3 linked regions of the Callithrix jacchus genome follow. The protein of the gene in region 1 interacts with the protein of each later gene in a pairwise test. Links are inferred from orthologs where the notes say so. Each region holds a gene or a part of one and is shown on either strand. Other genes may lie near its edges. The genes, in order: DDI1, CYGB and KLHL42.

Evidence for each region.
Region 2: the proteins of DDI1 (region 1) and CYGB interact in binary tests that used the Homo sapiens proteins (3 or more experiments, as listed by UniProt). The two-hybrid records come from large-scale screens. The link is inferred for Callithrix jacchus from reciprocal best matches to the Homo sapiens genes DDI1 and CYGB.
Region 3: the proteins of DDI1 (region 1) and KLHL42 interact in binary tests that used the Homo sapiens proteins (3 or more experiments, as listed by UniProt). The two-hybrid records come from large-scale screens. The link is inferred for Callithrix jacchus from reciprocal best matches to the Homo sapiens genes DDI1 and KLHL42.

What each region holds. Positions count from the first base shown.
Region 1 is NC_133511.1:4,028,367-4,036,621, reverse strand, and holds DDI1 (protein DDI1 homolog 1), read right to left. Parts: upstream 5,590-8,255; 5' UTR 5,472-5,589; coding exon 4,239-5,471; 3' UTR 2,515-4,238; downstream 1-2,514. UniProt on the Homo sapiens protein: Probable aspartic protease. Seems to act as a proteasomal shuttle which links the proteasome and replication fork proteins like RTF2. Required, with DDI2, for cellular survival following replication stress.
Region 2 is NC_133506.1:132,426,411-132,434,697, reverse strand, and holds the start of CYGB (cytoglobin), read left to right. Parts: upstream 1-3,765; 5' UTR 3,766-4,929; coding exon 4,930-5,072; intron 5,073-6,586; coding exon of another isoform or gene 6,587-6,680; exon of another isoform or gene 6,681-6,817; intron 6,818-8,287. Other genes in the region: photoreceptor disk component PRCD, read right to left, coding at 1,956-2,024, 6,587-6,680. UniProt on the Homo sapiens protein: Probable multifunctional globin with a hexacoordinated heme iron required for the catalysis of various reactions depending on redox condition of the cell as well as oxygen availability.
Region 3 is NC_133510.1:43,424,268-43,431,913, reverse strand, and holds part of KLHL42 (kelch-like protein 42), read left to right. Parts: intron 1-1,784; coding exon 1,785-1,978; intron 1,979-6,679; coding exon 6,680-7,131; 3' UTR 7,132-7,646. UniProt on the Homo sapiens protein: Substrate-specific adapter of a BCR (BTB-CUL3-RBX1) E3 ubiquitin-protein ligase complex required for mitotic progression and cytokinesis. The BCR(KLHL42) E3 ubiquitin ligase complex mediates the ubiquitination and subsequent degradation of KATNA1.

The sequences.
Region 1 (8,255 bases):
TGGATGTTAGAAAATAGCCCTTTTTTAATTGGCTTTCTGAAAGAAGCACAATGTTCCCTTAACTAAAATGACAGTTAATACCTGCAGTGAAGATGAATTTATACATGCCAACATCCATTTATCTTTTTTTTTTTTTGTAGAATAGATTTCCCCCTAGAAACAAGAACATTTTTATGACCCAATATTTGAAGAAAGAGGTTAAGATGATATGTTCTGCTTGTCTCAAACAATATCCGTCTTCCGGTTTAACTGCAGCAGAATTAGTTGTTGGTAATCTTGAAATACATGGTTATCACACTAGTGATTTTCTTTTAGGTAAGATGGCTATGTAAGTGAGCATTAGGTGAAGCCAAGGATGTTTTAAATGGCTTGAGACAGGAAAGGTCTACTTCATCATGTGGTCTACTTTATTCTCATTTTTAATAGAAAACAAAAACAAAAACTGAAGATTTGTTTATCCATTTCCAGGTAGTATATTTCCAAAAATAGATAATTATACATTGTGTATTAGTAACCTGCAATTTAGGAGGAAGATTTTTGTTACTGCATCAGTGATGAACATTTTAGACTCATTGAAAGTGCATTTCCTGGCTTGCTTCTTATTTTAAAAATAACCCCTATTACAAAATTTATTCTTTTGTATCAACATGTTATTGATTTCATGTCCATTCTTTTTGTTCTTAGTTGGTTACAAGTCTTTCGTCTACCCCTGCAAGGTAACAATCACCTTGAGGTCTGAAACTGTAACCTACTCATTTCTAAATGTATAAAAATCTGTCTGTGAACTTATTTTGTGTGTATTCAATACATAGTTATTGTGTTTATTCTGAGTCCTCCCTTCTTGTTGTCATTTCTACTGGCATTATTTTGGTAGTTTCCATAAAATGAAATTTTTTAAGAATTTTGCAGCTTTTGACGTAGGATTCAGATAAGGACGTTACAAAGGAGCTTGGTATTTGAAGTCAGAAAGCTTTGAATAAGGCAATTTGGTAAGTAAGTCAATGTTTTGTAAATTGTGGATCAGAATATTTTGGTGGGATACATAAAATATAATTTTAAAAAGAAATAAGACTAAGAAATGATAAAACATAGCATTCATTTCAAGAATCCTTTTTGTTTGTTATATAGAGATATACATAGAGATAGAAATACTTCATGTGTGTTTGGGTGTGTAGTGTGTAAAATTGAGTTACAATGTAAAATGTAGGTTGTTGTCAAAAATTTTTTTAATTACTGATCTTTGACTATTTGAATGTTTCTAAGAATTCTGAGCCTCAAATTCCTTATCCACAAAATGGGCTGAAAAATAGTGATTTTCAAGGTTTACCCTGAGGATTAAAGGGAACCATATGCAAAGTACCTGCATGGTGCCTGATTCCTGTAGAAGACAAGCAAAAGATGTAGCCTTTCCCAAAACTAATCCATGTAAAATTTAATTGATCGCGAACCTTTTATGTATACACAGGATTATATTAAGACTTTAATTAATTTTTAAAACACTTTTCAATTTGAAAGTCAATGACTTTTAAAAGTTAATCAATAAGGGCATTGCTTAATTAATTCATTTTATTTAATGATTTTTCTTTGAGGTCATTGCTTTTCAATTCAGTATAAATGTTTTTAATTTATTCATTCATTAACTCAAATAATATTTTTAGGATTTGGAATATGGCCAAATAAACATGACATTTTTAAGAGAATACTAATATGTCCTATGAGGAATAGTTAAAAATCTGTTGAAAACCTACTAAAGCCTAAAAATGGATATGTGGGCTGATACTGATTTCATACAGTAAAAAGTTGGTCTCATGCCAGAAAGATTAAATGTGGTCTTGGGAGAAGGAAGAATGAAGACCAGCTTATTGGAAGTGATAGGACAACAGATTTCAGTTCAAAATAAGAAGCAAATAATTTTACCTGAGATTTGTCTCAAAACCTTATAACTATAATTCAGAAAAGGTATTTCTCTGAGAAGGTAGGGTGGGTATGGTCAGATTTGATATCATGTAAACTGTCTTTTTTTTTTTTTTTTTTTTGAGACGGACTTTCGCTCCTTACCCAGGCAGGAGTGCAATGGCGCGATCTCGGCTCACCGCAACCTCCGCCTCCTGGGTTCAGGCAATTCTCCTGCCTCAGCCTCCCGAGTAGCTGGGATTACAGGCACGTGCCACCATGCCCAGCTAATTTTTGTATTTTTAGTAGAGATGGGGTTTCACCATGTTGACCAGGATGGTCTCGATCTCTTGACTTCGTGATCCACCCATCTCGGCCTCCCAAAGTGCTGGGATTACAGGTGTGAGCCACCGCGCCTGGCCGTAAACTGTCTTTTACCTTAAAGGTTCTGTGGCTGACTTTTTTGGGTCAGATACCCTGAGGAGTCCCATGTGATATATGCAAATAAGATTTTTTTTTTTTGCATAAATAAAGCTTAAAATTGAGTCCAGAAGATGGTGCGGATTTTGCATAGCTTTATCTTTGAGAGATTTCATGAATTTGTCAGGTCAATTTACATTTATTCATAAGCATTTTGCTTATCCCTGACTTTACTCTGTCTTTTCTGCTAATTGCATTTGTCTTGAGTGCTTAATTAGAAACAAAAGTAGGAAGGAAATCTGTCCATTTGATCATTTTTAGCAATTCTACTGGGTGTAAAACTTTGTGCAAATGTAGACAAGATTGGGAAATGTGAGCATGGGAATATTTATAGAGAAGAAAAATGGGAGGTGAACTGATGGAGGCTGGGAGAGGAAAGGTGACTTTCTTTAGAAAGAGTGTGATTTGTGTGACCAAGAAGTAAAACAAAAAGAAGTATGTGGGGATCATAAGGGAGGATGGCGTATTTCTGTACCCTTTGGGAATGCTGTGTGGCTTTATGTTTTGTCAGGAAAATAGAATAACTCAAAGGACATCCTAGATCATAATGAGGTTTTAGTACTTGAAAAGTGACACCTTCCGGGGGGCGGGGCCGGGGGGGATTCATAGATGAGGAATCTGAGTTGTAAAGTAGGTGAAGTAATTTGTCTAAGTAATTAAGCATAATCAAAGCATACTCTTCTTGACTTTGAATCCACTGTTGTGATACCAGTCTTGATGAATTATTGCCCCGAAATATTTCCCCTCCATCTGATGGCCTCAGGAAGCTGGAACTTTTCTAATAGTGTTTCAGCCATGGATTGTAATTAAGTCTAGGATCTTCCATTTCCCAGTGTCCGTCGTAATAAAGAGTGGCTTTGTCACAGTGAACAATTCTGTATGAGGCCTTAGAGATCTTCTCATTCAGAAGTTTTCAAATGTTATTTTAACAGTGAAGCCCTTTGTTCAAACAATATTGATGTAGCAGCAGCTTAATATCTAGAGCAGACTTTTACTTTAAACAGGAGGAAGAGAGAGATGATCTAATTGCAATGCGTATTAGGGAACCTAGATCACTGCCTGTCCCCACCACTCACTCCCACCACTGTGCAACTTGACTCCCAAGAAGTACCATGATTTCTTTAAAAGAAAATCTAATTTATTGCCTTTATTTTACAGCCAGAGTTTCTTTGAATGCAGGGGAGATAGAAAATTAATGTAACATCCTTGGAGAAAATTCCACTTTCTCAAATATGGCAAAAACAGCCTTTAGCTGTGGACTACAGTGTGACTGCAGGAGATCCAGGGGGAGGGAAGGTGTGAACATGAGGAAATTGGCCTTTATGTTGCCCCAGACAGACATATTTATAAGTATTAGTTAACATGAGAATGTAATTGACCCACTAATTCTAGTGCCTTTCTCAAAAACAAAACCTATGAAAACAGACATATTTCCCTGCATATAAAGAATTGTTAGTGCTGATGTGAAATAGTTTTATGTAGATGCCTTGTAAGGTCTGTGGCCATGGCATTTCTCCAGGGAATTCTGCAAAATAGCAACTGGTTTGGATAAGCCACCTGTAATCTGATAGAATGATGTCTCTAAAAGAAGCTGATTTTCTTTTTTCACGGATTATCTGGAAAGCCGCTGGAGCCTCCAGAGCCTTCCCAGGATGCCTTTCAGTGATCTCCGGACAAGGGAAATGGAAGAGGGACCAATACCAAGGAATCAGGATTGACAGTTACCTATCTGAGAACGTAGTCCCAAGGCCAGGTTTAGTTGTTACTGATTTTTTTTTTAATGATCACATTTCTGGTGAGCGCCCATCGTATCATTTCCAGGGACCTGAAGCTCCCTTAAGGTGGTGACATATTTATAACGCGCTTCAGTGCTCTTTTTGTCCGAAATCCTTGCCCGAATGTGTAATTTCCTTGTCAGAAGGCCCATCTTGCCCATTTACCATCCTACTGAGTAAGGGCGACTCTCCCTCAGGAAGGAAGTAGGTCTGCGTGCCAGTGGTGCCGATGACCAGCACGTTTTTCTTCAAATCGATGGAACATTGATGTCTTCGGAGCATATCTAGGCCTAGAAGCATATCCATGGGTTGGTCCGCAAGTATGGAGAAAGAGCACGGTAAGAAATCACCTTCAATTTGAATCTGAGCCAGATGAACGCGGCCGATAATGATCTGCGTGCCCACTCCTTGAGCAACCCCAGCCCACCGTCGGTCCACCAGCCTCATGATGTTACAGCGCTCGGCACAAGCCTGGCTCATGATGGTCATCTGGGCGCCCGAGTCAACAAACGCCTTCAAAGGACGCCCGTTCACTCTGCAGTTAATGTAGAGCATCGTCACTTGTCCGAAAGTCTCGGGCGCCTCTTCCATCGCTATATTCATGTTTTCTTCCACGTTCCTCTGCCGGATCTCCTCTTCTATTTTGGCCTGAGCTTCCAGATCCAGGGGGTCGGCCGTGTAGAGACGAAGCCTCTCCCGCTCTCTCGAGGCCCATTCCCTTCGCTGCTCCATCAGCACCTGAGCAAAGGTGTCAAGGCTTCCGCTGAGCAGGGCCTCCGCCAGGCTGGGGTTGCGTTCCTCGAGCAGGGACAGATGGTGCCGGTTGGAGAGCAGCGTGCTGCGGATCAGGGCTGGGCTGCCCAGGCCTTGCGGGCCGGCCGCCTCCTCCCCCAAGGCCCGGCCGTGCGCCCGCTGGGCAGAGGGTGCGCGCTGCTGCCGCTGCTGTCCTGGGTGCTGCGGGCGGGAGCTGGACGTCCCGGGTGCTGCGATGCCGCCGCTCAAGTCTACACGAGGCTGGTTCGGGGCCCGGGGTCCCACGTTGTCCCTCTGCAGTAAAACCACCACATCGCCGTCTTTGAGGCCGTAGGAGCCCAGGGAACAGTGGTCGTCAATGAGGAGTCGCTCCATGTGGATGATCTGGATCTCGTCGGCGGGGACTCTGGACTCCACCTCGCAGAGGACCTTGAAGTTTCGGAGCTCAAAGTCAGGGCTGACCTGGAGGGAGAAGGTGACTTCCGAGAGGTCCCTCCGCACGCAGTACACGGTGATGAGCATGGCGGGGACCTGGGCGTGCCGGGTGGGCAGAGGGCATGGGCCGCTCATCGGGGGCTGGGGCGGGCCTGTGTTGTTGGCGTCGCTGCTCCTCACGACTCAGTAGGTCACTCGCCTCTCAGAGGGACGGATGCTCATCTGCCTGGGGCTGCCTCCCAGCCTCAGTGCCAGCCGTGTGGCCCAGTGGAGCCTTGAGGTAGCATGTTGTATTCCAAAGTCCATTTGTAAGTGCCCTGTCTGGAACCTAGAATGCCTATTTCCATGGAAACGCAATGACTCAAAGCTGTCGGGTTTCAAGGCCAGCCCTTCAAAGCCTATTTAACACGATAGGAAAGAAATTATTTCAACACCTTTTGTTTGTTTGTTTTTTGGAGACAGGATCTCATTCTGTCACCCAGACTGGAGCTCAGTGGCAAGGTCACAGCTCACTGCAGCCTCGACCTCATGGACTCAAGCAGTCCTCCTCTCTCAGCCTCCTGAAAAGCTGAAACTACAGCCATAGTCTACCATGCCTAGCTATTTTTTGTATTTCTTTTATAGAGATGGGAGGGATCTCCCTATGCTGCCCAGGCTGGCCTCCAACTCCTGGGCTCAAGCCATCCACACACTTCTGCCTCCCAAAGTGCTGGGATTACAGGTGTGAGCCACCGTGCCTGGTTTCAACACTTTCTAAACAGCATATTACCATTTGTTTTGCTTTAGAGTTATATTCTTTGTACTTGTGTGTTCCCCACCCACGACCCCAAATAGTGTCTGTTTCCTACATGGTAAGTATCATTCTGTGTCTATAATACAAAAGTCAGACTTGAAGCCTGCCCTCGAGGAGCTCACATTCTGGAAAGGGCTAGATGGGTGAATGGGTAATCACATGTTCAGGGTACTGCCTTTAGTATCAAACAGAGAATGTTTCCTAAGGAGGAGACAAGCTGGATGTTGAAGGATGAGCATCTTCCAGGTGAAAAGTGGTCTCTTTCCAGAGGGAAGCAGTTCATGTTACAAAAGCAGGAATTTATGGCAAGGCCTGCTATTTCTAGAGAAAGAGGAGACGTTTTATGCAATAAAAAATTGTACATAACTTTGAATAGCAGGATATGAAGCTGGAAAAAAATAGTTGGAGCCAACTTATGAAGTCATGTGAATTCAAGGAGTTTAAATATTAAATATTATCAAGTAGCAAGAATTCTCCCTCCAAAAAAAAAAAAAAAAGAAAGAAAATGAAAAGGAAGGAAAGGGAAAGATTTGAAGCAGGTGTTCATGCTTTTTTTTTAATTGACTTAGGGAAGAGGCTTCTTGCAACGCATAGGGGACAAAATGTGTCCCTCTGGCAGGAGGGCCAGTTGGGAGGCCTTTCTGGTGGTTCAGAGCGGGAGCTGTTGCTAGAGTGTGGAAACCTCAGGAGGACAAAAGCCAAAGCAATAGGGAAGAAACAGGTTTTTTGAGTAAAACTGATAGAATGCGCATACCCCTTGGAGGTGAGGCGTGTAAAAGCAGTGGAGTGTGTGGATAACACAGAGGGTCTCTAAAATGGGAGACTGGGTAGACAGGCCGTTGTCTTCAAGGGAATAAACGAGTGAGTGAGATAAATCTTTGAGGCGACCCATTTGACATCAGTTCTGTAGGAAAATGCATTAAGGATGCCACCTCGGAGGCCAATATGCCTCTGACACTTGGACATGGCCGCTTTCTACACACCACACACACACACACACACACACACACACAGAGTGGAGGCTGTCATAGTAAGGGCGAAAATCCTTCAAGGCAAATGATGATAGGGTAGAAATCCTTGCGTGCTAGTTATTTTTCTCCATGTTTAATGTTGAATAAAGTATTTAGCACTGTACAGGGCTCATGTTTCCCTGGCTTGATCCTCCCAGGTATACCTACTTATGAGCCAAGATAGTTGCTATCCTCTGCCTAGTTTCCCCTCCTTCTTTAAAGTGTCATTAGAAAGCCTGCACCATGACACTGTTATACCATTGTGGGGAGAAGGGTGTCACATCAGCCTAAAACATTTTTTTTTGGCTCCTGTTTCTCATGTGTTTGTCTCAGATGGAAGACTATGTCTCTCATTGCTCTAATTATTATGTTTCCATACTCATATTTGCTTATATGAGAAAGGTTGACTGAATGCCCAGTGTATGTGAAGAGTGTGCTAAGTTCTCAAGAAACAAACGTGACTAATGTTAAATACAGGCTCACAGTCTAAATTAGAACATGTGCACACACACAAACTGAAGGGTAAAATAGGATCACAGTAGGAGCTGTGATAGCTTAGGAGAAATGAGTAATATCTGGAGAGAAGATGAAGAAGGTGAGGGGTTGGGGGCAGAGAAGACTTCCTGAAAGAACTGGGCCAGAGTGGAGAAACAAAGGCTGGGAAGGAAGATGACCTGACTTAGAGCCTTTAACTGGAAAGACAGTGTTTCATGATATGAGGATTTCTTTTAATTTTAAGAAAAAAATCTAGCATTGTAATTTTCACCATTTATACAGATGAATGGCCCTTTGACTCAAAAATATGATGTTATGGTTCTTTGCACACTGACAAGTTTATCAGAGATTACTTGTGGTTTCTCCTGCGTTTGGAAACAATTATCATGTGAGATGTCACATGCAAACTACTCTGCTAAAGAACAGATTGAGAAACCAGTGAGACTTTAAGTCAGTGTTCCTTTATCTGTTTTCCCCAAATAGCTTTGTACAATTTGTTCTTCAAACCATAAGCGAGGGGGATTATACTGGGGCTTTTGTTTATTTTTTAAGAGCAAATGAAATTTTTTTTGTAGAATAAGCTTCCTTTTATTTCTTATAAAACAAAAATTGTGAGTTTAC
Region 2 (8,287 bases), on another chromosome or scaffold:
TGGCCTTTTCTCTCCTGCCAGCAGGTCCAGGCCCATTTCATGTAGAAGAGGCACTGCCTGGAAGTCAGGGCCTGAACATCTCGTATTTGCCACAAATGAGATAGATTATCGGGAGCAAGTCACCTAAATCTTCCTGCCCCTCAGTTTCCTCAACCACTAACCAAAGATTAAAAACACATGTGCTGGTCGGGTGCGGTGGCTCACACCTATAATCCGAGCACTTTGGGAGGCCGAAATGGGTGGATCACGAGGTCAAGAGATCGAGACCACCCTGGTCAACATGGTGAAACCTCATCTCTACTAAAAATACAAAAAATTAGCTGAGCATGGTGGTGCATGCCTGTAGTCCCAGCTACTCGGGAGGCTGAGGCAGGAGAATTGCTTGAACCCAGGAGACGGAGGTTGCGGTGAGCCAAGATCGTGCCATTGCACTCCAGCCTGGGTAACAAGAGCGAAACTCTGTCTCAAAAAAAAAAAAAAAAAAAAAAAAAAACACATGTGCTGCCAGTCCTCTGGGTATTGAGACTTCTGAGTGAGTTAATGTATAAGAAACCTCTGGAGAACACTAAAGCACAGGTCCCGGGTAGAACAAGACAGCTGCTAGCATTTATGGTGCAATTATTCTGCACCCTCACCAGGACCTCGAAAGCACTGTTATCAACCCTAGTTTACGTAAAAATAAACTGAGTGCGTAAATGGCCCCATAGTCTTTCCATTAGTAAGAGGGAAGCCAGGATTTAAATTCTCCCTGCCCAACTCCAGACCCTGGCTCAATAGTGAGGACCACTCAGCATTTGAGGGCCTCCTGTGGGGGGAGGCCCAGGCGTGGTCATTTTATCCGATTTAACTAGTGATACTAAGCAGGCACTGTTATGATGATCCCAGCTGGCCTATCCAGTGTCACAGAAATGCCTCTGTTTCCTGTACAGTCCCAGGGCTTCCCGTCGGGCCTTCTGATCATCAGAATCTCAGGACTCAGAATCCCAGGACTCAGAGGACAGGAGACAGGAAGACTGAGGTTCTCTCGGTTGCCATTGTCACATATCAAAGGGACTCATTGCTGGCAAGTCCCCACTCAGAGACATGGATGGTCACAGGACCCCGCCACCTGCATCCACCCTGTGTGGAGACACCCTCCTGCCAGCAGGCCCTGACCCAAGGATATAATAGGATATTTTTTACTCTTTGTTTCACTGGGAGCAAAAAAGTCCTTCTTCAGACGGGTCTCCCATGCTAGGTGAGTCCATAGGCACAAAAGGAACCCCTCGTGCACGGGAACTTAATAAAGATTTGCTGGTGTATCCCTGTATTTCGTTGGGATAGGCGCCCCTGTCATCGAACGACAGTGGTCACCCACGGAAGGAAAAGTCTGGAAGTTCCCCCAACTTCACCCCCTAAAGACCACATGGCTTCAGCCTAGGGAAGAGTTAACTTTCTGGCCACTGGAGACAGCGTCCTGCCCGCAGGGGCTGCCCAGCCAATGGCACTCAATGCTGATGATGTCATGCTCCTCCCGCGCCTTCTATTGGGGACTGGACAGCGAATCCTGCAGGAGGCTGGGGCTGCGAAGCCGAGGCGGGGCGGGGGCAGAGGAGGAGGAGGGGGAAGGGCAAGGAAAGGCGAGCAAAGCCGCGCACAGCTCCTCCTGCCTCATCCCTGCCTCCACTCCCCTGCGCCTCCCGACAGAAGGTGCCCCGGGGGACCGCTCCGTACTGGAGATGAGAGGCACAGCAGCTTTGGTCCAGAGGAGCGGCTGGGGGCTCCCATTCCCAACTGCAGAAAACAAGACATCCGGCCTGCCCACCAGGCGGACGGGGAGCTGGGTGCCTAGGGCAAGCGCCGGGAGACGGTGCAGCACAGGCGCACACACAGGCACACACGTGCACCCCCAACCAGGCACAGCCACAGCATCCTTGGCAGCACCCTCCCTCTCCCAGCCCAGATTCCAGCCTTACCTGCCAGAGGCCTGAGGGTCTGAGTCCACGCTGCTGGCCCTAACTGCCCCATCCACGTCGCTGGGCTCTCTGTGGGAGGCAAGAGTAGGCAGGAAGAACTATGGCCGTGCCCGGCCCCTCCACAGGTCCCAGCCGCATTGGGCTATGGCACTGGAGGCTGCAACTAGAGCTTTTGACGCTCTAAGTGTCCCCTGCTCTGAGACTGAGCTCTCAAGGGTTCCTTGAAAATGCCCTCCCAGCTCCCCTGAAGGTCCAGGCTTAGTGGCAGCCCAGCCCCATGGGTCCTCCCCCACCAACCCCCAGCCATAGCCCAGTCAGTTTCTCACGGTTGGACTCTGTTGGCAAATCGGCGGCGCCAGAGCATGGCCAGGGTGCTGAGCAGGAAAAGTGTGGTGCACATGGCGCAGCTGCCCCATCCCCTCCCAGACCAAGTCCACAGAAGGCCACAGGCGAGGAGCCAAAATGGCCCCGGCCAGCTCTCAGGAGCCACTGCGGTCTGTCCTGCGGTTCCTGCTGGGGATGGATTAGGAGGCTCAAGCTGATTAGTGGGTCAGCGGCCTTGACCTTGGGAGGACTGATTAAGCTCGCTGGGCCCCGGTTCTCCCCTCCAGCGGTAGGATCAAGGTGTGTACTGTGGCATTGGGCACATATTCGGAATGTCCATCTCTGAGACCAGGCCTTGCTTACAAGGAGCTGCCAGTCTAGACGAATGTGCTGTCAAGTACAATGACTGCAGGAGAGTGACCCGGGAGTGATTCAAGGCGCCTCCAGGGCACTTTCAGAGTTGCAGGCATCAGGGCAAGGTTCAGAGAGGGGCGAGGGCATCTGAATTTGCAGCGCAAGGAGGATGAGCCCTCAGACAGAAGACGCTGCGAGGCTACTGACATGAAATCATGGAGCATCTGCGGGGAACTGCAAGGTGAGCAGAGGTGAAGCAATGATGTCACCGCAGAAAGATCAGGAGAGGAGGAAGAAAGGGGAAGAATATTCAATAACGAAGCCAGAGAGACAGGGGAGACTCGACAGTGAAGGGCTGGCACAGTTTACCCTCTGGACAATCCTCTCCAAACTTTACTGATTACACACCCTCTTCAGTAAAAGGCAGAATTCAAGTGCGCACTCACAAAATAGATAGGTGCACCCACCTACAAATTATATGCTAGATGACGATGCAGATACATCCCTACACCATAAGGCTGCACTGAATTTGCAAAGGATGAGATGAAAAGAAATAGCGGTTTTCTCCTACTTTCCACATTCCAAGGGGACCTGTTGGGCAGCCACTTGGTCCCAGCAACTTTGAGAAACTGTTCAGTGTGTGTGGAGCGTAGAACCAGCCATGACCACGCTGAGACGTGGGTCTGGGAGTAATGAGAGAACCTGAACCCACCCACTCCTCTCCACCCCTCCAAAACCTCCAGGAGGCGTTAGATTTTCCTTCACTCAACAAGGGGGAGGCAGTGTCAGATGCACTGCCCCAGGGTCCCCCAGGCACCGGAGCCCTGAGCTCCCAGGAAGGGCCCAGCCTGCAGCTGAGGCTTGCCTGGGCGAGTTCTCCCTGCCTCCCCAGGACCTTACAGTCGAATTTTAAGAATAAATACATGAACCATAGCAGAAGCCCAGAGCCAACCCTTGGCAATGCTTGGGCAATGGGACACCAAGTCTTGAGCAAGGACAGGGTCACGGGGAGCCTGAGTGACTTCTCTTCCTGACACTGCCAGGAACTGTCTGGCCTCAGGCTGTTCCCAGGACCCAGCAGCCGCTGAAGGGCGGGCACCATGGAACTCTCCCCCTACCTCTGGCCCAACGCACACTGCTCTGGACAGGGTCCACCAGGAGGAAGGATTTGTCTCCCCCAGCCCGGAATCAAGCCCTTGGTGGCAGCTGAGATGTCCCCAGCGGCTTGTGCCTTCCTCAGGACTTCTTGACCGGCAAGTCCTCTCTGCCCTATCCGGTGCCTCTCCGGACTTTTCTCCGACACCAGCTGGGCCAGAATTCAGGGCAGCGCCTAGTTCTTGCCTGTCCTTGTCATTGGTAAGCCACGGGGGACTTCTCGACGCCCCCGCCGCCACGCGCGTGCACCGAGGGCAACGGGGGTGCTGGGCGGAAGGAAAGGGGTCGCAGGCCTCGGGCGCCCGCGATCGGAGGTGCGCTCAAGTTCCGACAGCCAGGGCGGTGGGCGGGCGGGGGGACGATCCCAGTCTAATCCCCCCACCCCAAGAGCCGTGGCGCCGCGGCCACCAGCGCCTGGCTCCGGGGAGAGGCCGGGGCTCCGGGAGCCCAGCGCGGTCCAGGGGACCCCACGGAAGGGCTAGCGGGCAGCCTCACAGCGAAAGCTCGGGAGTGTTGGACTTTGAGTCAGTTCCCCGCCGCTGGAAGGGTCTGCACGCGCACACCCGGGATGCCGCACGCTTTGGGAGCCGGGACCAAGCGCTACCGGCCCGCGCCCGCCTCGGCGCACTCCTGTGCGGCCCGCGCCACCCTATGACGCGTGACCGCCCATTCCTCCCGGGACCCCCATTGCCCCGGCCACACCTACCCCAGCCCCGCCCCGCAGTGCAACTCCGCGGTGGCCTGCGGGTGGGCGGGCGGCAGTCGCGTCGCCCCCACCCGGAGCAGCTTTTCACCTTGCCGGCATTGGCTCACCCACACGGGGCCCGGGGTTTGGAGCGGATTTGTTTTTTTAAACATTTTCCAGCAGACCACATCCCCGCCCCCCGCTGGCTGTCCCCCGCCCCCCGCACATATACCCTGCACACACGCACGCACACACACACACACACACACCCGGCGCGCACAGACACACGCTTCCTCCCTCCGCGCTCTACCCCTCGCCCGCCCGCCGCGCACGCAGCCGGCCCCGGCTCCCCGCTCCCCGCGCCCCGCGCCCCGCGCCCAGCGCTCGGCGCCCCGCGCCCCGCCACCGCCGCCGCCGCCGCCGCCGAGCAAAGCCAGGCTGGGCTTGGAGCTCCTCATGGAGAAAGTGGCAGGGGAGATGGAGATCGAGCGCAGGGAGCGGAGCGAGGAGCTGTCCGAGGCGGAGAGGAAGGCGGTGCAGGCTACGTGGGCCCGGCTCTATGCCCACTGCGAGGACGTGGGGGTGGCCATCCTGGTGAGGTAGGTGTCGCCCGGCCCGGCCGGGCCCTGGGCAGGGAGGGCGGCAGCGGCTCCGGGCAGAGGCGGGCTGGGCCAGGGTCCGAGCTCCGGCGCCACCTCCCCAGCCGTGACTGGGGCCGGTGCGAGGTCGGCGGGGCGGGCAGCGTGGGGCGCCTTGGGGTGAACGAAGCCTGGGCTGAGCTTTCCCTGGCTCTGGCGTGGAGCTCACCAGGAACTAGGAACAAGATGCTGGAGGGCACCTCGGTCCCCCTCCTTTTCCCGGCCTGAGAACTCCTCCCTCGGCCAGAGACCCCAGACACCCAGCCAAGCTGTCAGACACACACATTTTTCTGGCCTTTGAAAGGGAGTAGCAGGGGCTCCCCATTTTAGAGATGGGTAAACCGAGGCTCAGTCAAGAAAGGGGACAAAGAGGAGCAGACCCTTGTCTCAAGCTCAGCTGCTCACTGGATTCAAAGCCTCTTGGAAGAACAGGGAGCAAAGAGCAGAGGTTGAGAAGGAAGAGAGCTGGGGTCCAGTGTTCCCAGCTGCCCTCTTCCTGCTGGAGGTGCAGGTCAGCAGGATCTCCTGGCGCAGACACAGGTGTGGAGAAGCAAACAGTGCGGGAGCATACAGTCCCTGCTGAGTCTGAGGGTGACTGGAGAAGAGAGAAGCCTAACCCTGTCAGGAGACAGGGCCTAACCCTAAAACCCCCCACCTAGGGAGGAAATGCAGTGGCTTGGGCTTAGGGGGTCATTCAGGCACCACACGTCCCTAAGAGAGCCACACACACAGAGCGTCCCATTCATACACCTGCCCAGAGCGTGCACACACCATTCTCATTAACGTGATGTGTCCAAGCCTCGAAAGCTAGTAACTGACTCGAGCTACAAATCCATGCTCTCTTCCCACATGTGCTGGCCCCTGGGGGTGCAGGCAGAGAGGTTCCAGACCAGCTCACTCTCAATCCCCTGTTCTTGGCAGAGGAAAGGGTCAAATCTAGGACAGAGCAGGACAGCCTTGTCATGGGAAGACGGGTGAAGCCTCGCTCTGCAAGGATAGCTTTAGTGCCTCCCCGACTCCCAGGCCTCTCCGTCTCCAGCTTCTCTCTCTCAAGCCTGGGACCTACCCAGCTCCACCATGATATGCCCTGATTCCAACTCCGAAGCAGATTTTGGAGGAAAAAGAGCAGGAAGCACTTCTAAGGAGTTAAAGGAGCATTCCTGAGGATGGGGCAGCTATCTCAGCAGCACCCCAGGCCCAGAAACAGAGCTGGGAGCGGCCGGAAGCTAAGAGGGGCATTGGGATCCTGGAGCCTCAGACACTTGGAACCGCAGATCCCCCCACGGGCTGGCATCTACACAAGCACACAGCGGGTAGCAGAGCCAGACTGCATCCTCGGACACTGGCAGCCGGGTGCGTGTCTAGGCAAGCACATGGGTCACCAGAGGAGGCAAGCCAGGGTCCTCAGGACCTTGGAGGTTTTCTGTCCCAACCCCTGCCACGTGCCTGTGCGGATCCGTGGAGGAAGTACTCACCGTCCACATCCCGGGGCACCACTGAACCTCCCCAGGAAGGGGACCAGGGTGGGGCAGATGCCAAGGAGAAATGAAGCACTGAGGGCAGGGCCATGTCTGGACAGTCAGAGCTTTCAGCCAGGATTTCTTTTTTTCTCTCCACCCCTCTTCCAGTCTCCACTCCTGTCTCTTAGAGGGGCCTGGGCCTGGGCTGGAGGAGGTCGTTACCAATGTGCTCAATTCTGTCGGACTAGAGCCCAGCCTGTCTCAGCTCTGTCTCAGCCACTCCCTGCCAGCCCAACCCCACAGGGCCTCGCTTTCCTTCTTTCCTCCTGTCTCTGCCCAGGGCCTGGTCAGTAGGGGAGGGGAGGAGAGGGGGATAAGGGCTCCTGAAGGTCCCTCCTTAGATCCTGCGCCCATCAGTCTTGACACAGTGCTTTCTTCCCACACACAACACACACATCCTCAAGGTCAAGGCCCCAGCTGGAGCCCTCCGGCCAGCGCTCTCAACTGTGCCCTCTTCACTGCACCAGGCCAGCGCTCTCAGCCCTAGTGAGCCTGCAGGGCAGGGAGAAGGCCGCTGTACCTCCACAGCCCCAACCTGGAGAAGTTGCCACGTTGGTGGGGGTGGAGGAGGCGTTACTTTCAGAACCTGGGGCAGACCCCACACTTCCACTCCCAGCCAGGGAGGAGACCAAGAGGGAACACCCACCTTCCCGCCGGGTTGTAACTCTGACACCTTCCTCCTCACACTCAGACAGGCCTATTTCAGGCTCTCTTGGAAGCCCAGATTCCTCTGGGAGCTGAGAAACTCCCCAGGGCTGGCTGTGGAGGCTTCTCCCTGGCAGCACAGGCTGAGACTGGGCGAGTCTCAAGTGGAAACATCATGGAGCCAGGAGGCAGGAGCCACACACGTGGGCCCCACGGGCTGCAGAACCTTGGAGGGTCTGGGTGGGGGCTCCCTGAGACTGTCATTCCTCAGGGCCACAACCCAGTGGTGGGTGTTGAGGCAGGAGACACCTGGTTACCAGGCCACAGTCCCCTGGCACAGCCATCTTTTCAGGCAGTGTGGGGAAACCATCAAAGCAGGGCCCATCTGGGCCCCTTCCTGGCCCATCTACTCTATTGGGCAATCTTGGACATCTATTCCTAATTCATAAGAGGGGGATTAAAACGGTGCGTATCTCAGGAGGGAAATGCAAGTATTTGTGAGATCATACAGTAAGTGCTCAATAAATTTTCCCTGTTGTTTCCTAATCAGTAAAATAGAGGTAACACCTGCTTAGCTGTGGCAATTAAATACAATAACAGACCAGGCACCTCGGCTCACACCTGTAATCCCAGCAATTTGGAAGGCCAAGGAGGGCAGAACACCTGAGGTCAGAAGTTCAAGACCAGCCTGACCAATATGGCAAAACCCTGTATCTAAAATACAAAAATTAGCCGGGCCTGGTGGCGGGCACCTATAATCCCAGCTAATTTGGGAGGGTGAGAAAGAAGAATCACTTGAACCTGGGAGGTGGAGCTTGTAGGAAACCAAGATAGCACCACCGCACTCCAACCCGAGTAACAGAGTGAGATTCCATGAAAGAAAGAAAGAAAAAGAGAGAGAGAGAGAGAGAGAGAGGAAGGAAGGAAGGAAGGGAGAAAGAAAAGAGAGAGAGAGAAAGGGAGGAAGGAAGGGGAAAAGAGAAAAAAAGAGAGAGAGAAAAGAAAAGAAAA
Region 3 (7,646 bases), on another chromosome or scaffold:
GTTTGTGTCCTCTCTTATTTCATTGAGCATAGCAAAACCTGGCAGAGACTCAGCAAGATAAGAAAACTTCAGGCCAATATCCATGATGAACATAGATGCAAAAATCTTCAGTAAAATACTGGCAAACCAATTGCAACAGTACATCAAAAAGCTTATCCACCATGATCAAGTAGGATTCATCCCGGGGATGCAAGGCTGGTTCAACATACGCAAGTCTGTAAACATAATTCACCACATAAACAGAACCAAAAACAAAAACCACATGATTATCTCAACTGATGCAGAGAAGGCCTCTGACAAAATTTGACAGTGCTTTGTGCTAAAAACCCTCCAATAAACTAGGTATTGATGGAATGTATCTCAAAATAATAAAAGGTATTTACGACAAACCAACAGTCAATATCGTACTGAATGGGCAAAAACTGGAAGCATTTTCTTTGAAATCTGGCACTAGACAAGGATGCCCTCTCTCATCACTCCTATTCAATATAGTATTGGAAGTTCTAGCCAGAGCAATCAGGCAAGAAAAAGAAATAAAGGGTATTCAAATAGGAAAGGAGGAAGTCAAATTGTCTCTATTTGCAGATGACATGATTGTATATCTAGAAGACCCCATTGTCTCTGCTCAAAATCTCCTGAAACTGATAAGCAACTTCAGCAAAGTCTCAGGATACAAAATCAATGTGCAAAAATCACAAGCATTTCTATACACCAGTAACAGACTTAAAGAGCCAAGTCAAGAACGAACTGCCATTCACAATTGCTACCAAGAGAATAAAATACCTAGGAATGCAACTAACAAGGAACGTAAAGGATCTCTTCAAGGAGAACTACAAACCATGGATCAAAGTATTTTTGAGGCCAGTTGTGGTATCTGGTACTATAATTTCAGCGCTTTGGGAGGCTGAAGGAAGAGGATCACTTGAGGCCAGGAGTTCAAGACCAGCTCAGACAACATAGTGAGATGCCATCTCCACAAAAAAATTTTATAAAAAATTAGCTGAGTAGACTTGAGTATGGTGGTGCATACTTGTAGTCCCAGGTACTTGAGAGACTGAGGCAAGGAGGCTCTCTTGAGCCCAGCAATTCAAGGCTGCAGTGAGCTATAACTGTGCCACTACAGTCTAGCCTGGGTAACAGAGCAAGACCGTGTTTCAGAAATAAATTAGTAAATAAATAAATACAAACTGTGAATTTGTTCAGTGCTGACCTCTCCCTATTTTGTATGTTGTGAAGCAATATGAGGCAGGGCCAGTGGTCTGCTCAGGTGTCCTGGTGGTGCAAAGATCTCCTGACCCACCCTTTAGCAGTCACCCGTCACAGCTGCCTGTCTGTCTAGGCAGCACCAGTGTGTCTAAGATGAAGCCATGCTACTCAGTAGGAAGAATGAAATAACCATTCTGAGCGGTAAAAGACAAGGGGGTGAAGTGGGTGCCTTTTTCCTCTCTTAGCCTTGTGCCTGCCCCTGAAAGAGTGTGGAATTTAGTGTATACACATTGTCTTTGGTTGCTGGACTAAGGCTGAGCAAGATTAATAACTTGTTATATTGAGCTGCTTATCTTCAGAAGCCAGTGTTTGGACAGTGTGCCATTCCTGTGGAATCTTGGGGACAGGAGTGAGATTTGAGAAGCCATCCTTTCTTCCTCTGTCCTCAGGCAGAGTGGCTTCCAGCTGGGAGAGCTAATTTTCTTCAGATGTCCAGGAGATTCTAGTAGTTCATGCGATTGTCATGCTTTTCATTGATTAGAAGAACTAACTCTGGGGCCTTTGTGTCTCTCTTTTAGGTCTAACTTCAAACTTGTGGCTGTTAATTCAAAACTCTATGCCATTGGAGGGCAGGCCGTTTCTAACGTTGAGTGTTACAACCCTGAGCAGGATGCTTGGAATTTTGTGGCACCCTTACCCAATCCTCTGGCTGAGTTCTCTGCCTGTGAGTGCAAGGGAAAAATTTATGTCATTGGAGGATACACTACCAGAGGTAAGTGAAGGGAATAAGTAGGTGGTCTGGCCATGTGTAGGTGTCGGCAGCTGGGAAGGGCAAGACGGTGTCAGAGGAAGCTCTGATGTACCCGAATGTCATTTTATGGTTTAATACTGTACACTTACACATCTGGAAGGAAGTGAGTCCCATTTGGGTGGGGTGATTGAAACAAGAGGAATCTTTTGATAACTGTGTGAGCATGAAAATCAAATGGAGAAGGGAGGGCTGTGAAAAAAACATGTTATTATTATTTTTACTTCTGAAAACCCAGTTTTTTGGTCAACTGTCTTGTGATTTGGCTGGGCCTGGTTTGTGGGGGTCACTCTCTGAGGTTGGGTAGGTCTTTGGAGAAGATTATCTGGGAACTCCCATTTTTATCTCAAACACATACCAAATCTGCCCCCATCCACCATTATGGAATTTAGTGCCAGAGCATCCTTGCAGATTAGTTCTCATTTTCTCTCTTTGTGAGCACACACACATCAGATAGAGGTTCCGGAAACCCAGCTCCAGGACACTGTTCACATATCACAGGAGGAGCAAGAACATGAATACAAGAGTTCTTTCCTGATCAGCAGTGGGAGGTGGTTGTACTATCTATTTATTTGTTTATTTATTTATTTTTTGAGACAGAGTCTCCCTCTGTCACCCAGACTGAAGTGCAATGGTGCAATCTCCACTCACTGCATTCTCTGCCTCCCAGGTTCAAGTGATCCTCCTGCCTCAGTCTCCCTAATAGCTGGGATTACAGGCACCCACCACCATGCCCAGCTGATTTTTGTGTTTTTAGTAGAGACAGGATTTCACCATATTGGCCAGGCTGGTCTGTAACTTCTGACCTCAGGTGATCCACCTGCCTCGGCTTCCCAAAGTTCTGGGATTACAGGTATGAGCCACCATGCCTGGCCTGGTTCTACTATTTATTAAAATGTACATGTGTGTTTTTCACTTTTTTGGTGGGCATTTTATAGTTAATAATTTGGAAATAAAAAATTTCTACAGCAAGTTTTTTTTTGTGGAGACGAAGTCTTACTATGTTGCCTAGGCTGGTCTTGAATTCCTGGGCTCAAGTGATTATTCTGCCTTGGCCTCTCGAAGTACTGGGATAACAGGCATGAGCTACCATGCCTTGCTAACCAGCAAGTTTTATACTGCTGTTCTTGGTAGGGAATTGTCTCAGGTAACAGTGATACAGAACAATGTGGTTGTTGGCGGGACACAGTGGCTCACACCTGTAATCTAACACTTTGGGAGGCTGAGGCAGGAGGATTGCTTGAGGCCGAGAGTTCAAGACAGGCCTGAACAACATAGCAAGACTCCTTCTCCAAAAATGAAAAGAAAAAAAATAGCTGGATGTGGTGGCATGTACCTGTAATCCCAGTTACTTGGGAGGCTGAGGCAGGAGGCTTGAGGACAAGAGTTCAAGACAGGCCTGGGCAACATAGCAAGACCCCTTCTCTAAAAATGAAAAGAAGAAAATTATCTGGATGTTGTGGCATCTACCTGTAGTCCCAGGCCCAAAGATCCTTTTTTTGAGTAAAATCACCATTCACAGGTTCTGGGGATCAGGAAATTGACATATCTTGTTAGGGACCACCATGCAACCCACTGAAGCGATGTGTATATTTATGTATTTAAGGAGAGGCAAGACAAAGAGAAGTGCATTGGAAGCAATGACCTTCCCCACCCCGCCACTCCAAGTTTCAGTCATTTGTCAAGCTATTCCCAATGTCTCTCCCTGGTGACTCTCCACTGAAGATAGTTTTCAACTTTTTCTTTAAATATAATTGGGAAAAAAAAGAGACTTAGTAGTCATTTCTTTGACCTTCAATATTGGTTGTCAGGTTACAGAGATTAACTTTATAGGTTTAGACTAAGCCATGGGCCCTTCAGCCCGCCAGAACTCCTGTGTTTGTATAATAATCCTCTCTCTCTCTCTCCCCCCTTTCTCTCTCTCTCTCTCCCCCCTTTCTCTCTCTCTCTCTCCCCCCTTTCTCTCTCTCTCTCTCTCTCTCTCGCGCGCGCACGCGCATGTGTGTGTGTGTGTGTGTGTGTCTTTTCTTCTAGGAAAGTAAATACAGTTATTTACCTATGAGCAATTCTAAGAATTCTGATTCCTCTCTAGATTGAGTAACACAGATTGCATCTCGTGGACTGACATAATGCACATGTGCTTTGACTTCTCTTCTGAACAAGAGCTGTTCAACACTGACAGGCAGCACTGTAACCCAAAGAGTACCTTACTGGTAGACTCCTAGTTTTTCCATGACCCTGGCTGAGCAAATGTCCTTTAGATTTGACCTAGAAAACCCTTTTTGTGTGTTTTGTAGCTTCACAAGCCACTGCTAATGTACCTTCTTCACTTGGGCCACCCACTGTGATTTCTGTCCTGGATTCCCTGAGCCAAATACCCATGATGGGATGGTTCAGTGATGTGGATGGATGGCTATTTGTGTATGGGCTGAAACTAGTTTTCTAAGATGGGAGAGCTGGGCAGTTACTTACATGCTGAAGCCCTCCTTCTTCTTTGGTGGCGCTTTCCAAGCACTGCCTAATAGTTCCCTGTATTTAAGATAAGTCATGATTGTTAGGAAAAAAAGAAAAAAAAGTTAATTTTGAGACTCCTGAATTCTTAAGTCAAGTAAGACTCTTAAAATATAGCAAATAATAGCTCATGATTTTTATGATGGCTGTTTGATTATTTTAATTCCTTGGCAGCACTGAAGAAATTCAAAGAAGTTCAGTAGTGAGTAATAGCTATAAAGGGAAGAAGGGTGATTTGTTAAACTTCAGAATCAACTTTAAATGTAAAAACAAAAAGATCATTCCTCCAACTCAAACCACCTCATCATGGTCTGAGCCCTTGTTGAGTGAGGAGAGAAAACATTTACAGAACACCTGGAAAGACCTTCAGGCCTGGAGCTGTGAAATACGTGGAAGCCTCACTAGAATGAGTTCTTTATTCATTTGGTGGACAGCCAGGTTACTAAGGAGCACTTTTTAATAAATTATTGACCAAAATCCCCTTGGGCCATCTCCTAAAATGATCTTTATCATAATAGCTATAGTAAAAAGAAATATGGAGAGGTATTAATACGGCTGGAAATCAGGACAGTTTCCAAACACTGTGACTTACACTTCTGAGATTTCTGCAGGCATCAGGACATCTGCATGTACAGGACTTTGCTGTCTTAGGAGGTACCTTAGTTTGTATCAGATGTGGCTTTGGAGGGTGCTCTTTAAGCACTGCTAATTATGGGTGGGTTCTTTTCAGAAGGAAGAACTGAAAGAGGTATGAAACTTCTGAGAAAATGAGCTGTCTTCTCTTACCAGCATCTGCAGCCATCAAAATGTTGTAGGCTTTAGTTGTCTGCCAGTGCCCAAGCTGAGCTGTCTCCTTCATGGTTAGGATTTATTGTTTAGAAAAAACAGCAACATTCTGTTTATAACTCAGAGCATTTGTGTTTTCTGCTGAAGCTAAAATACTCATTTATTCTTTCCTAGAGGAGAAAAGAAAAAGAGAACAATTAAAAACAAGAAAAGCAAAATTAGATATTCTAAATTTCTTAAGCATTTTTCACAAAGAGACTAGGCAATTTTTTTCCTTAAAGAAAATCACCTTTTTTTTTTTTTTTTTTTTGAGACACCAGGATCCCTGTCACCCTGGCTGGAATGCAGTGATGTGATCACAGCTCACTGCAGCCTCACCCGCCCAGGCTAAATAAAGCCATCCTCCCACCTCAGCCTTCTAAGTAGCAGCTGGGAACATAGGTGCATACCACCATGCCTGGCTAGTTTTTTATTTTTTTTGTAGGCGGGGGGGGGGCGGTCTCACCATGTTGCTCAGGCTGGTCTTGAACTCTTGAACTCCTGGGCTCAAGCAGTCCTCTTGCTTCAGCCCCCTAAAATGGTGAAGTCCTGAGACACCATGCCTGGCCAAAAATCATTATTAATTAAAAATGCCAGAGAAGCCTTTTATCTAGACTTTGATGTTTTCTACACTGCAACTATCTCTTGGGAAATGGGAAAAGGGAGAGGGAGGACCTTTGTTATTGTCTCTCTGGTGATATAATTGGGAAACTAAGGCTGGGCATGGTAAAGACCCAGTCTTTACAAATAAAAACAAATTGGAAAACCGAATTGCCAAGTGATTCTGTGGCTTGGTAGAAGGCTGCAGGTGAGACTGCTGCGTTCCTCCTGACTTGTAACGTTGTGTCCTTTTCACTAGACAGCCTCTGGAGAGCCTATGTTGCTACTTGTCATGTTTCTTAGGATCAGCTGTCAAGGACAGATGTAGTTGCTGATCAGCCTGGCTTCTGTATTAAGTAGTCGGTAATTTTGTAGCTATTGATGAGAGTTCTGAGGCACTTAGTTTTTTTGCCCTGACCTGGTGGTTCAAAGGTGTGGGGGCGGGTACCAGGGAGGAGGGGCTGTGTGAAAGTCAGAGCTGCTCTTTTCCCTGGTTTTATCCAGTCTGAGTCTCCCAAGGAGATATTTGGGAGGAGGAGGCGAGTGTGGCTGGATCTAAATATATCTCTTCCCAGCCATTTTGAAAACTGTTTTACCAACTTGTGCTTTTTCCGAAACAGTTTTTTCTCTTTGTTACCAAATTATGCAGGTAGAGGTAGACATTTCTGGGCAGCCTCGCCTAATGGTGTTAGTGGGGGCGGTGTCATCACTTATCTTTCTTTCTTTCAGACCGGAACATGAACATTTTGCAGTACTGCCCCTCTTCTGACATCTGGACCCTCTTTGAAACTTGTGACGTCCACATTCGCAAGCAGCAGATGGTGTCTGTGGAGGAGACCATCTATATCGTGGGGGGGTGTCTCCACGAGCTGGGGCCCAACCGCAGGAGCAGCCAGAGTGAGGACATGCTCACCGTGCAGTCCTACAACACCGTCACCCGGCAGTGGCTCTACCTCAAGGAGAACACGTCCAAATCGGGTCTTAACTTGACTTGTGCACTCCATAACGATGGCATCTACATCATGAGCAGAGACGTCACCCTGTCGACCAGCTTGGAACACCGAGTGTTCCTCAAGTACAACATCTTTTCAGATAGTTGGGAAGCATTTCGGCGTTTTCCAGCTTTTGGACATAACTTGCTGGTGTCTTCTCTTTATCTGCCCAATAAAGCAGAAACATGACTGAATTGAATTCGTAGATGAAAGAAACTGGTTCAAGATTTTTTTTAAAAACGTAGTGTCCCATTGCAAGGGAGACTGATTCCTAAAGGGTAAAGAAGGGTTAAAATAGGTCACATATATACAGTAGCAGCTGTAAATAAGCTTACTTGAACTAATTACTTGAAAACTTGTGGAAAAAAGAGACCAACTTTGTTATTTTTAAAATTATTGATTTTTAAATTATGGGAGCAAATCTATCTCCAGACATGATACTCTTGGGCCAATGACGGATCATCAAAATATAGATTCATTGTGACTGCATGGTAAAGGGCCAAAGTCAATAATTGGAACAAATGGTAAAGATGATTTTTAAAATCTGTTGTATTTAGGTCCCTTTACATATCATTAGCACCTTATGTGAGAGATTTTCTTTTTCTTGCCAGTATACTTGACAAGCATTCGTATTAACATATTCATTCCCTCTTCTCCGTCAAGCATACCCACACATACATCTAGTATGTTTAAAATAGGGTTCT